Linked DNA regions of Danio rerio. The protein of the gene in region 2 purifies or fractionates together with the protein of the main gene of each other region. This does not show direct contact. Links are inferred from orthologs where the notes say so. Each region holds a gene or a part of one and is shown on either strand. Other genes may lie near its edges. The genes, in order: jade3, ing4 and kat7b.

Evidence for each region.
Region 1: the proteins of ing4 (region 2) and jade3 purify together in Homo sapiens (affinity purification with mass spectrometry; 3 studies listed by BioGRID and IntAct, with this or other methods). This does not show direct contact. The link is inferred for Danio rerio from reciprocal best matches to the Homo sapiens genes ING4 and JADE3.
Region 3: the proteins of ing4 (region 2) and kat7b purify together in Homo sapiens (affinity purification with western blotting; 6 studies listed by BioGRID and IntAct, with this or other methods). This does not show direct contact. The link is inferred for Danio rerio from reciprocal best matches to the Homo sapiens genes ING4 and KAT7.

What each region holds. Positions count from the first base shown.
Region 1 is NC_133181.1:40,040,101-40,043,755, forward strand, and holds part of jade3 (protein Jade-3), read right to left. Parts: coding exon 3,514-3,655; intron 1,219-3,513; coding exon 1,101-1,218; intron 1-1,100. UniProt on the Homo sapiens protein: Scaffold subunit of some HBO1 complexes, which have a histone H4 acetyltransferase activity.
Region 2 is NC_133194.1:10,614,101-10,618,392, forward strand, and holds the start of ing4 (inhibitor of growth protein 4), read right to left. Parts: upstream 2,827-4,292; 5' UTR 2,799-2,826; coding exon 2,762-2,798; intron 1,935-2,761; coding exon 1,863-1,934; intron 1,737-1,862; coding exon 1,570-1,736; intron 1-1,569. Other genes in the region: uncharacterized protein fam131ba, read left to right, coding at 2,960-2,977, 3,360-3,404, 3,637-3,721.
Region 3 is NC_133187.1:6,548,156-6,552,443, forward strand, and holds the start of kat7b (histone acetyltransferase KAT7), read right to left. Parts: upstream 2,858-4,288; 5' UTR 2,729-2,857; coding exon 2,714-2,728; intron 2,182-2,713; coding exon 2,131-2,181; intron 153-2,130; coding exon 5-152; intron 1-4. UniProt on the Homo sapiens protein: Catalytic subunit of histone acetyltransferase HBO1 complexes, which specifically mediate acetylation of histone H3 at 'Lys-14' (H3K14ac), thereby regulating various processes, such as gene transcription, protein ubiquitination, immune regulation, stem cell pluripotent and self-renewal maintenance and embryonic development.

The DNA.
Region 1 (3,655 bases), on a different chromosome or scaffold from region 2:
CTGCTGCAACTTAAAGTTATGCCAATGGTGCGCTAGTTTAAAGTTCTGAGCTTGTACACAATACGCACGCACATTGGATCAAAGACTTATTATAACTATGGCTGAGGAGGTTTTTAACTAAGGGCCATTCACATATCCCATCTTTTACACGCATGCAAGTTCGTTATTTCCAATGGAGGCACGTGGTTTGCGTGCATATTAGTGCCTTTCAGACAAGTGTTCAGCAGTCTTTGACTTCATTTGTTCTATTTAAAAGGGAAATACTTAACTAATATGATGCTTAAATTTACATTGGACAAAAACTATTTATTTATTTATTTTTGTTCTGTCATTTATTTTCAGTGTAAAATTACTACTTGTGTTTAAATCCCAAAAGCATTTTTCACTTATTTTTAAGTCCAAAGATAAATGGATTATTTTGTTTATTTTTTGTTATTTTGTGCTGTATTAATTGGTTACTGATAACAATTTAAAATATAAGAAGTTTTCATGTGATTTTCTAAACTAGTATTTTGCAATGAATGACTGCATAATAACTGTGATACACGTAATAATTCCCTAGACTATAATCGTACAACCAAAATCATCCCTTGCACGGTACTGTTACTGTTCGCCTTGTAGCGCTTTGGGTCTGAGAAAAGAACGCTATAAATAAAATGTATTATTATTATAAAAAATGTAGCTATAATGAAAGTTAATGGGGCAAAAACAGCCACAATCACAAAAAAAAGGATAATAAACGTGCCCAAAATGTATTGTTGATATAGGTTTTTGAAACTTTTCAAAGCATTTCCCCAAAATATGTGTCAAAATAAGATTCATCACCAAACATCATTCCATTGGCCACAACTTCAATGGACTGACAGTTTCAATTAACTATAATCTTTTATGTGAAGCTGCTTTGAATCAATCTACATTGTAAAAGTGCTAAAGAAATAAAGATGAATGTAATTGAACTTTCTCTGTGTTTCAGCAAAATTAACACTCAAAATCACCTCAGAGTGGATGAAAACATCCCCAACAGCACACAAGGGTTAAATGCACTGTAAGTAAACTACAAAACAACAAATCAACAAATATAAATACAAGTTAGTTGTTACCTGCAGACAACTCTTGGTTGACAAGCTTAACGTGTAGATTGAAAATCTGTTCTTGAGCTTTACTCTGGGACAGCTTCAGTTTCTCTCTTCGACTCACCATGTAGCACAAGTTTCTCACCTGACAACATGACACAGAAATATGCATAAAGATCATAATGTTCAAAAAAAAAAAACATTGATGGTTTAAAATATAGAATTATAACCATACAATACTATTAATGCTTCAAATACACACATTTATTTTGTATATACATGATTATTTGCTTAGATTTACTGATTTACTGACAACTTATTTTTGAAGTAGACTGCTCATTTGGTATCTTAACAAGTTGCAATGAGTATTATTAAACAAAAAGAATGATAAAAAAAATAATTATTAAAAATAAAAATCTATTATTATTAATAATAACTGTATATTAAAATGAAAAAAGACATTTATTTAGCAATTAATTTATTTTATTTAGCAATTTAGCGTTTTATTGATAAAACTAGCATCCATGGTTGGAAAGCGAATTATATTTATTAACCAGTTTTTGTTTGGAAAAATAATCGAGTCAATGGCTCAAAAATCTAGTGATCCAAATCTTGAGTTTTGTAAAAGCACTAAGAAATGTTTCCTCATCAGCACATTAGAAGCTTCCTGCTTCATGAATGATTTCTGATAAATAATGCGACACTGAAAACTGAAGTAATGCCTTCTGAAAACAGCAGTGTCATTAAAGGAAAACCTGTAAATACACCAAATGTTCTAAATGTAATATAATAATAGAAGTTGTAATATAATTCACAAAATTTAGTCCAAATACACAGTAGTGTAGATAAATGGTCATGATTATTCTGGCGTAATAATCAATGAACTAGAGCTGCCATACCAGGGAGTTATGCAAGGAGGCGCAATGACATAATGAAGATAGTCCCCAACTAGGTAACTAGTAGGGGTGGGTGATCTTTTTAAAAAGATTTTCTTTAGGTTTTCGGAGAAATGGAGACCAGAGGAAAGCATCGCATGTGTAAAAAAAAAATTAAAAATTTTTCATTCAAACAATTTGATGTAAAATACACGCTCAAGTTTAGGGCTGTGCAATTTGGGGAAAATATCTAATGGCAATTTTTTTTTTTGACAGATACTGCGATTTCAATTTGCGATTCAACTTTGTAGTCAAGCTTCAGCTCAATATTTTGTAGCATAGCTACTTACTGCTAAAATGCAGTGACTGTTAGTGAAAAGGGAACTGAAACGATATTCACCAACTTCAACTTTTATTCAAAACTGTTTATAATATTCAGAAATGAAACACTAATTTTTCTCTACAGCAGACAGTAGTGAGTTATGGTGTTAGTTATCTCCTGGTGCCTTCATGATGTTTTTTCATATGGTGTAACAGCTGCACACAACTCTGAAATTGTACTTTGCTGTTGCTTGCTACTAGATTGAGCGTAACTGGCAATACTTTTAGTTGAGTTTTTAGCAAGACACTCTTCATGTAGCCGTCTGTGGTGCTTTTTTAGGTGCTGGTTGTTGTATTTCCTCAAGCTGTGGCAACAATTCTGCGACATCTCTTACAAATGACCTGTTTTATGATTCCCATATTAGCTTTGTGCTGTTTTTCTTTGACATTAATTCGTCTATTAATGCTTCTGAAGCGGCAGACGGCGTCATCCCACTTGTCCGTGCGGTCCTGTTTGTTTGTTTTTATTGTGGGCTTTCCGCATAGTTCTGTTGCGCAACTCTGATTGGGCAGAATGAAAGTGTGCTCACTCAATTGGGTAGTAAGACCATCACACACAGACGGCAGTCACGCATTCTCTTTGGGTGGGGGAAATAAATTATACACATTTCATATCGCTGCCCCTTGTGTTAGCTAATTGCAACATTTCAAATCACAAATACGATTCGATTTCGATTAATTGCACAGCCCCACTCGAGTTAATTGAGAAAATGGATTTATTGCCCTGCCATAGTAACTACGTAATGTTACTGGGTAATATCATTGCACCTGCTGCAACCATGGTACGGCAGTAAAGTTCCCTGACTATTACACTCCTATAATTCCGAGCCGTATCAGCCTAGAAAACAGCAAACTTGAATTTCTGTCAGTCTTAGCACACAATGTTACTATAGAAGTGTCAATCTTTAAATTAAAAATTATCAAAACTTTTTTTGCCATTTTTGACCGAGATGCTAATGGTCTAATTCGATGGAATGATCTATGGTAAGCTAAGATAAAAGTGCTCTTGACAGAGCTGAATATCATCTGAATGGGTTCAAAAATGGTACTAAAAACTTTCTAGATGATTTGTAAAATGAAACTATTTAAAAAGAAAAGTGAAGTTTTCTTTTAAAAGTCAAACAAACGCACAAAAACAGCAAAAACACTGCTAAACAATGTGACTCAGGCTTCAAAACCCTCACCCTCTCCAGGTCCTGGCGCAGGTGCATAAACATGCGCATGCGTGTATGAATGCTGTCCTCCTGTGGCTGCAGCAGAAGGTTCTCCTCATCTTCTTTAGGTGGCAGCAGGGCCTTGTTGAAGTTGCTTTTCCTCTTCATCTTC
Region 2 (4,292 bases):
TCAGTAGTTACAGGAGTTCATGAGAGTAAGAGTGAAATGATTTTGTTCGGCCCGTCAAACTCTTCCAGAGCCCCAATGGTTAATCTAGAAAAATTAAGTTTTTTTATGAAGCCCTGGATAAAATATCAAGGTGTAATTCTGGATGATGGCTTAAGATTTGACAAACAGTTAAATGCAGTGGTCATTTCCTGCTTTTTTCAGCTTCAACTTTTAAAAACTGTCAAATTTATTTTATCTAGAAAAAAGTTTGGAAAAAAATAATCCATGCTTTTATTACTACTAGAATGGACTATTGTAATCCTGGTTACAATTAGTATAAAATGTTGCTGCAAGGCTTTTAACAGGTACCAAGAAACATGACACACAACACGCATTACACCAGTTTTACGCTCTTTGCACTGGCTGCCTGTGCACTATAGAGTAACTTTTAAAATGCTTCTCTCGGTTGTTAAATCTCTAAATGGCCTGGCAACTTCTTATCTGTCAGACATGTTAATTGAGCATCAGCCTGGTCTGTCTCTTCGGTCTTCTAACCAGAAACTGTTGTGCATACCTGGGTCAAGGCTGAAATGCAGAGGTGACCGTGCCTTCGCAGTAGCTGGTTCTAGGTTGTCCTACAGCACAACACGACATGTTTGCTATTGCAACCGGTCTTTTTTTGCAACTGGTATGCGTGGTTGAACCTGTGTGACATCATGTGTGATGTAGGTTGGTAATTCCCCCATACATTCTTCTGTTTAATGTCATCATCTGAAATGTCTTCCTACTGCCGAAGTTATATCTTGTCATCGTATACTTGATTTATGTTCACTAATTCGCAATTTCAAATAACGTGATGACTTCCCTTTATATATATATATATATATATATATATATATATATATATATATATATATATATATATATATATATATGTATATAATAATGCAGTTTTTTGTTTTATTATTTTTACCTGTTACTTGATTCTAAAATTCTTTATACTTTACTAGATTCTGACATGCGGCACAATTTCTGCATGGAAAACAAACTTGTATAAAAGTAGATTTATTATTTCTTACTAAATCTGAATTATCATCATATCTGATAAATTTTGGGGATTTTTTAAAAGTAAATAAAAAATATAGAGTAAATAGTGAGTACATTTAATTTTTTGGTGAATTATCACTTAAACAAATAGAAGAATAGAAAAAATAGTTAAAAAAACTAAAAAGATAATAGAAATAAAAATGACAACCTACAAAATATCAACAAAATTTAAATTATTATTATTTTTTGCTTCTCTTAAAATTTGTCAAATTTGCATTTAATATTTTTTTTATAACATATCAATTTGGGTGTACTAGTTTTTGGAGCATGATCATAAGTTATTTTGTTAAATGAGTTCCAGGTTTGGCTTCAGTACTGATAATCTAATCTGTATATACACAAATATAATATTGTATAGCTTTCTATTAAAAATAAGAATTTAAAAGAGAGATTTGAGAAGTGTACTTGTATATGCTGAGCACTGTATATATATATCTACTTTTTTTTCTATTTAGCAAAGAGCAAATGCAGATTTTCACTAACCATCTCATAGGTTTGCATCGCAAGCTGCACCTTGTCATCTCCGAACTCTTTGCACTTCCCATAAGACTGCTGGATCTGTCTTAACAGCGAGAGCTTCTGTTCAGATGACAGTGTCCGAGCATTAGCGGTGTATTCACGAGCCAGAGAATCAATCTGCCCTTTCAGATCTGCAGAAACAAGAGATGTAAACAAACAACCATTTAAAAGAGATGTACCATTTTATAGAAGAAATAATAGAGTCAGGAAATAAAGTAACAGCACGCATTATAAAAGATATTACTACACCGACTCACCCTCTGTCCTCTGGTCCAGATCTCGCATCAGCTGGAAGTTTCTTTGCAGCTCAAATGGCAGATTCTCGATGCCTAAATAGATCAAGTGACATATGAGTCTTCAGCACCACCATGAAGATTCAGGTAAAATTGGCTTTATATTCTCACATTTATACTTTGGAGTCCAAGAAAATAGTGAAGCAGAAATTAAAAAGGCTAATGCAGATTCGTTATAATGACAAATTGTTATAAACACAACGTGACTACTTGTTGTGACACAGTAGCTATATTGTTTACCAGCCTACTTTAAATATTTAGTCTGAATTCGCATGTAAATATGACTTTAAAACAACATTAGCACTAATTTACTGACTGTAAATAATGTACTTTGATAGTAACTGGCTGCTAATTTTATATCCTTATTTAAAATTAGCAAATAATACTTTTTTGAAACTATATTAATGAGGTAAAAGTCCAAATGTGCTAAAATAAAACCAACTTTACACCAATAACACAAAGCATCTAAGACCCACAATTCTGTGTACATTTTAAAAATGGCACTAAATAAACTATTTGTTATCTCGACAGGGCTAAACACTTTATTTGAAGCTTAACAATGTGCTCCAGGGTTTATTTATGTTTATCATTTCAATACATTAATAGTAGAAACATCACATCCTGTCACAGTAACACTACAATTAAGCGATAAACCGTCGCTGACATCATAACACTGTTCATAGCCTGTTAGCAGAAGCTACTGATCGCAATAACGCGTAATAAAGCGCTGCTTTGTCTCGTTACGTGGTCGTTTTTATAGTAAATGGCGTGTGTATGTGAAACTTGCAGGCATGCTTGACAATCTAAACACGGACGATGTTTATTTGTGGGGATAAATATCAAAATGAAGACAATAGTCTTACTGTCCAAATAGTGCTCTAGATACATTCCAGCCGCCATCTTGACAAACACAAACAAAGGTTCTTCCGGTTTTGCCGGAAGTTCTCGGGGGCCATGCTCATGAGGAGGAGGGGTCCTGAATGGGGTGTCTGTTGACCCCTTTCATGTCATTTATCTGCTTTGAAGGTGTCTTGAAACGGAATGACTAAACTGCTCCTTGGATGTTCAAAGATAAAAAGGTGAGAATATATTGAGGGATTTATTTTGGGGTGGTTGAAATGCTAAATTACATGACAGTATCTCAAATTTTGAAACAATTTTGACTTAATTTAGCATCACAATACATTTTATGAATAGCTTTGCTCGACTTATTTTTATTTTTTTGCCATTTCATCTGAATTTCAACATTGTGAAGTGTAGTCAAATTAAGCTTTTTAAGAAAAACTGAAACAAATGAAGCTTTTATTTTGTCCCTTAAACAATATTATCGAAAAAGTTGCTATTTAACATAGACACCATTTTCCCTCACAAAATGAAACAGTCTATAAAATGATTTATTTTTATTTTAAAAAAATTTTTGGACACAATGTTTGTGAGTTAACTTTTTAAAATATATTTTAGATCACGCCTTACAGAAAGAAGGTTGCTGGTTCGAGTCCCGGCTGGGTCAGTTGGCATTTCTGCGTGGAGTTTGCATGTGAAGAGTTTAGATACAAAAACCTCTAAATGCCATTTGATATGTACTTCTAAAATAGCATTTTCTCCTGTGTGTAGGTTCAGTCATTTTGACTACAAATAAGTTATTTTCTTTGCCTTTACAGTGAAATAACTGAACATAATTCCAGGAGGCTTTTAAAAAATGCTTATTTTTGGACAAAATATCAGGTGTAATTTATAGGTTTTTGCATCTGAAGTCTTCATGTCCTCTTCGGGTTTCCTCCAAGTGCTCCAGAGTCCAAAGACATGCGCTACAGGTGAATTGGGTAAGCAAAACTGTCTGTAGTGTATGTGCGTAAGTCCTGGTCCTCCAGGTTTGGGGGTTGAGCGTTGCCCTAACAACTCATCTTGTAAAAATTAGATGTCACAAAACACCAACATGATGCTAAACATCAACTTCGATATAAACGGCCCGGGGAGTAAGTATCACATAGGACTTTAATAGGATAGTTCACCCAATGGGAGATCTTTTTGAAGAATGTTGTAAACCGGTATCCGTTGTGAATAAATACTGTGAAAGTCAGTGTCTACCAATTTTTTTCCATTGTGTACAGCAAAAAAAAAAAAAAAGTTTTGGAACCACCCGAGGGTGAGTAAATGATCAGTAAGCCAGGTAAACTTTAGGTGGACTATCCCTAATATAATTCAAGCCTAACAGAAATTTAAAACAATTTGCCAAAATTATCTTGTTTTATTTATTTTTTCTTCAGCAGGCAAACGCCTAAATTAACTTTGGTCCGTGTTAGTAATAGGTAGGTGTGCCTCTGGGGTTCCTTCTTTGACTTGAAATTGTTTTGCAGCTCATTTCCTCTTTTAAGTACAATCAGGTGAGTTTTC
Region 3 (4,288 bases), on a different chromosome or scaffold from region 2:
TTACCTTGAGAGCTCTGGCTAAGGCGCAGTGATGCTCGGGTCATGCGGGTGTTATTGCGCTGGTTGGCTTCACCGTGAGAGCTGTCGGTCTTCTCATGATCTCCAGAGTCATCCGAATCTGCAGTCCCGTCTGAACTACTGCCCGCAGTTCTCTAAACACAGAGTGGACATTAGCAGTGCTTTATCAGTGTACATGTACAGATCATGAATTAAACAACACTTTAAAATGAGCTAAGCACTGCAGTTGAACAGGGGAAAAGATTATAAACGATTTCGATTGATTACTTGAAGAAATGCAAAGAAACAGCATTACAATTGTTCTACAATGATGTTTAAATGTAAAAAATGATCCATTATTTCATTAAATTTGCACATTTCTAGCACAAAAATATAGTTCAAAAACGATCATTCGTTTTTTTACACTGTTTTTGTAAAAACTGAAAACAGCAAGGGAAAAATGTAATGGTTTATGACTGTTTCTCAACCACGTTCCTGAAGGACCACCAACAATGCATGTTTTGGATGTCTCCTTTGTCTGTCAAACCCATTATAAGTCTCTCAGTCTCTGCTGATGAGCTGATGATTTGAATCAGGTGTGTTTGGTTAAGAAGACATGAAAAATGTGCAGAGCTGGTGGTCTTCCAGGAACGTGGTTGAGAAACACTGGTTTATGGGATTAAGGTAAAGTTGGTTTTAAATTCGCACATTCGTTCAATGACAACTTGTGACTTGGTCCCTATATCGTTTACCATGTTACTTAAACAATATAAGTAATATTTAATTGACTGTTGTACTTAGGCATGGGACGGCATAAGATTTAGATGGTATGAAAACCTTGGATAAATATAGCATGGTTTAACGGTATTGTGATAACTGCTTAGGCTGCTGGGGATACTGTTGTTCTAAAAAGCCTAAAACAAAAGCCAAAAAACTTACATACACCATAGGAACAGTAACATAGACTGACCATATTCTGTACACAACAATGTTCCATATGGATTACCTTTACGTTTTCGTGGCTGTAGCTCTGTCATCGGAACTGTCTGATTGACAGCTGATATGAGCCAATCTATTCGAGTTCTGTTCTAGCGCAGTGGGCCAATAAGAAGAGCTAGAAGGCAGGGCAAGCATTGCAGGCTTTGTTTACTGCAGCAAGTTGACAAGTCACTTGTTTTAAACCATTCCTGAGTGCTGCGTTTGGTGTTTTTAGGTGCAAAGATGCTTAATGCGTGAATGCCTCCTAAATCTGCGCATGTGGTGAATATTTTGTTGTGAAAACTGGTCGAACGTCATCAATTTTATGCATAGATGAAATTTCGGGCACATATGCGACAAAAATGATCGCACTGCGCTTGAAAATAGACAGTGAGGAAGCTAAAGGAGCAAGTGTAACTTAGGAAGGGAGACATTTATGGCCGGTTTTCACGGTCGGAATGGGGTCACTTTAACAAGCTTGCGTTTCTACAGCCAAAAAGGTACCCTTTTAGTGGGAGTGGTGTATGACAAAGTTTCAGATGACATCATTTTTACTAAAGGAAATGTCACAGTAAAGCCATACAGGTCGTTCACAAATATGAGAAGCCCTTCTCACAAAACAGAAGCTTTATACACATAAATACTTCTCTTTAAATGTTTATTACTAACCCTTCTATGAACATGACTTGATTATAACTACAGATCAGTGATAGTGCAAAATAGCCTACTGTAGCGTCTGTAATTATATGTAATAAATAAATAAACACAACATATATGAAAACAAACAGACCTTTACAGTCTCCGATATGTTATCAATTACATAAAAACTACACACAGCATACATTTAGTCCTTATTTGGGTTCAAAAACAACACGAAATATAGCCCAGTCAGACGCAAACCTCTTATATGTGTCTTTAATCTTCAGCAGCACATGTAGCCTCTTGTTAGAAGGTAATTCCGTCATTCCAAATTCATAATAGTCCAATAGGTGATGATACTAGTTAACGTTAAACATGGCAGTTTGTTCATGTTTTAGGTTGCAGATTGGATCATTTGCTGCTGTTTTTTCCAGCTTCTCCTTTGTTAGCAAAAAAATACTTTCCTGAAACTTTATTATTAATGTCTAAATGTGCGATTAATAAAATGAACTTTACCTCAGTATTTATGGGTTTATTTAAGATCAGCTGAAATGGAGATTTATGGCCCTGTAGAGGAGAAACAAAAACATTTTCAGAATAGAATATGTATTGCAACTGAATGTACAAACACACATTTTGATAAAAAGCTTAGAAAATAACACATTAAAAGGGCATAATGGGTGTTTTCTTTACAGTATCATCGTATTCTCGTAGAATTGTATTCTGAATAGCATTAAAAAGCAAAAAAAATCTAAATAGACAGATGGTAAAAGGAAACTTGCAATGTATCTTGCCTTAATGAAATAATAATATTACTTTAAATCTCAAGTGTGTTTTCAACATTAACGTTTGCACATAAAGAAAAAATGCTAACTAGCTTCACTTTTACCTAAAAACGCACCGTTTTCGAAGCCACTTTCTTTGCTTTTCGATTCTTATGCGCTAAAATGTTAACTCAGAACACAATTGAGATAAAAATTGAAACATTTTAATAGAAAACAAACAACATTTGTCTGAACATGTAAACAAACATTGAGCTAGCCGTTAGCGCGCGCTCAGCCGACTGGGCTACTGACCCAGTTCTCGCATTTTCTCTCACCTTCCGCCGCGGCATGTTCCCTCCGATAAATCCAATCGCCGCTTTCTTCACACGTTTGTCAAACGAATTTATTTGTTTTCAGTTATTAGATATAACCCAGCAGCTGCGTGAACACAAGTTTGCCCTTTTCTGTTCTCGCAAATTGTTCACTATCTCGCGACTCGCGCCACACCGGACCGCGGCGGAAGTGACGCAATGACGGAAAACATGGCGGCGCTGAAGCGAGTGAGGGACGTCGTCCATTTAGACCAGTAGGACTCAACAAACATCCATGTTCTGCAAAATAACATTCATTCATTCATTCATTCATTCATTTTCTTTTCGGCTTAGTCCCTTTATTAATCCGGGGCCGCCACAGTGGAATGAACGGCCTGCAAAATAACAAAAAATCTTATTTTATTTGTAAATGACCACATCAAAACAAAATGTATGCTTAGCTGTACCAAATTGTAAACTATTTTTCATTGATCTAAAAACTTTTTGATATTCGTTTCTAAAAACTCTAGAAACTTTTTGTGATTCCCTGAATTTGTTGGCAATCCTATTTAATTTTAATGTTCGAAATTAAGTTTGAATAAAGCATATTTAATGCAATTAAATGTCATATAGCTCGAATGTCCAGATAACCTTTTAGGCAATAACCGTTATCAAAATAAATTAATAAAACAAAATATTTCTTTGGTTAACTAACACCTTCTTCGAAATAAAGATACAGGAGCTGTCGCTGGGGCAGAACCTTTACAAAAAATACATATTAGTACATGAAGGGTCCATAATGGTATGTCAAAGGTACATTTGGGCACTAAAATGCACCCTTGAGGTACCACTATGGACTCTTTGGGTACAAATATGTATCTTTTGAAAAGGTACTGCCCCAGCGACAGCTCCTGTACCGTTATTTCTGAGAGTGTATATGGTTTTTGTAGTAGCCTAAACTGTAGTTATAGAATTGGTTATCAAGTCTAAAAGCATGGTTACTACACCTTTACTTACTATAAAAAAACAGGATTAATTGGCCCATATGGGGATGTAAAGATAAAATGAGATGTTCAACACTAATAAAAATATAAAATGGTTGAGGCTCGAACCAGCAACCTTCTTGCTGTGAGGTGATTGTGCCACCGAGTGCCACCGAGTCACCCTACTTGTGGGTAAATATGTTTTAAATCTGGGCGAGGCAGTGGCGCAGTATAGTGCTGTCACCTCACAGCAAGAAGGTCGCTGGTTCGTACCTCGGCTCAGTTGGCGTTTCTGTGTGGAGTTTGCATGTTCTCCCTGCCTTCATGTGGGTTTCCATTTTCCCCCGGCTCCGGTTTTCCCCCACAGTACAAAGACATGCAGTACAGGTGAATTGGGTAGGCTAAATTGTCCGTAGTGTATGAGTGTGTGTGTGGATGTTTCCCACAGATGGGTTGCGGCTGGAAGGGCATCCGCTGCGTAAATACTTGCTGGATAAGTTGGCGGTTCATTCCGCTGTGGAGACCCTGGATTAATAAAGGGACTAAGCCGACAAGAAAATGAATGAATGAATATATTTTCAATCTATATTTGGCTGTGATATTTGATTTAAACTTC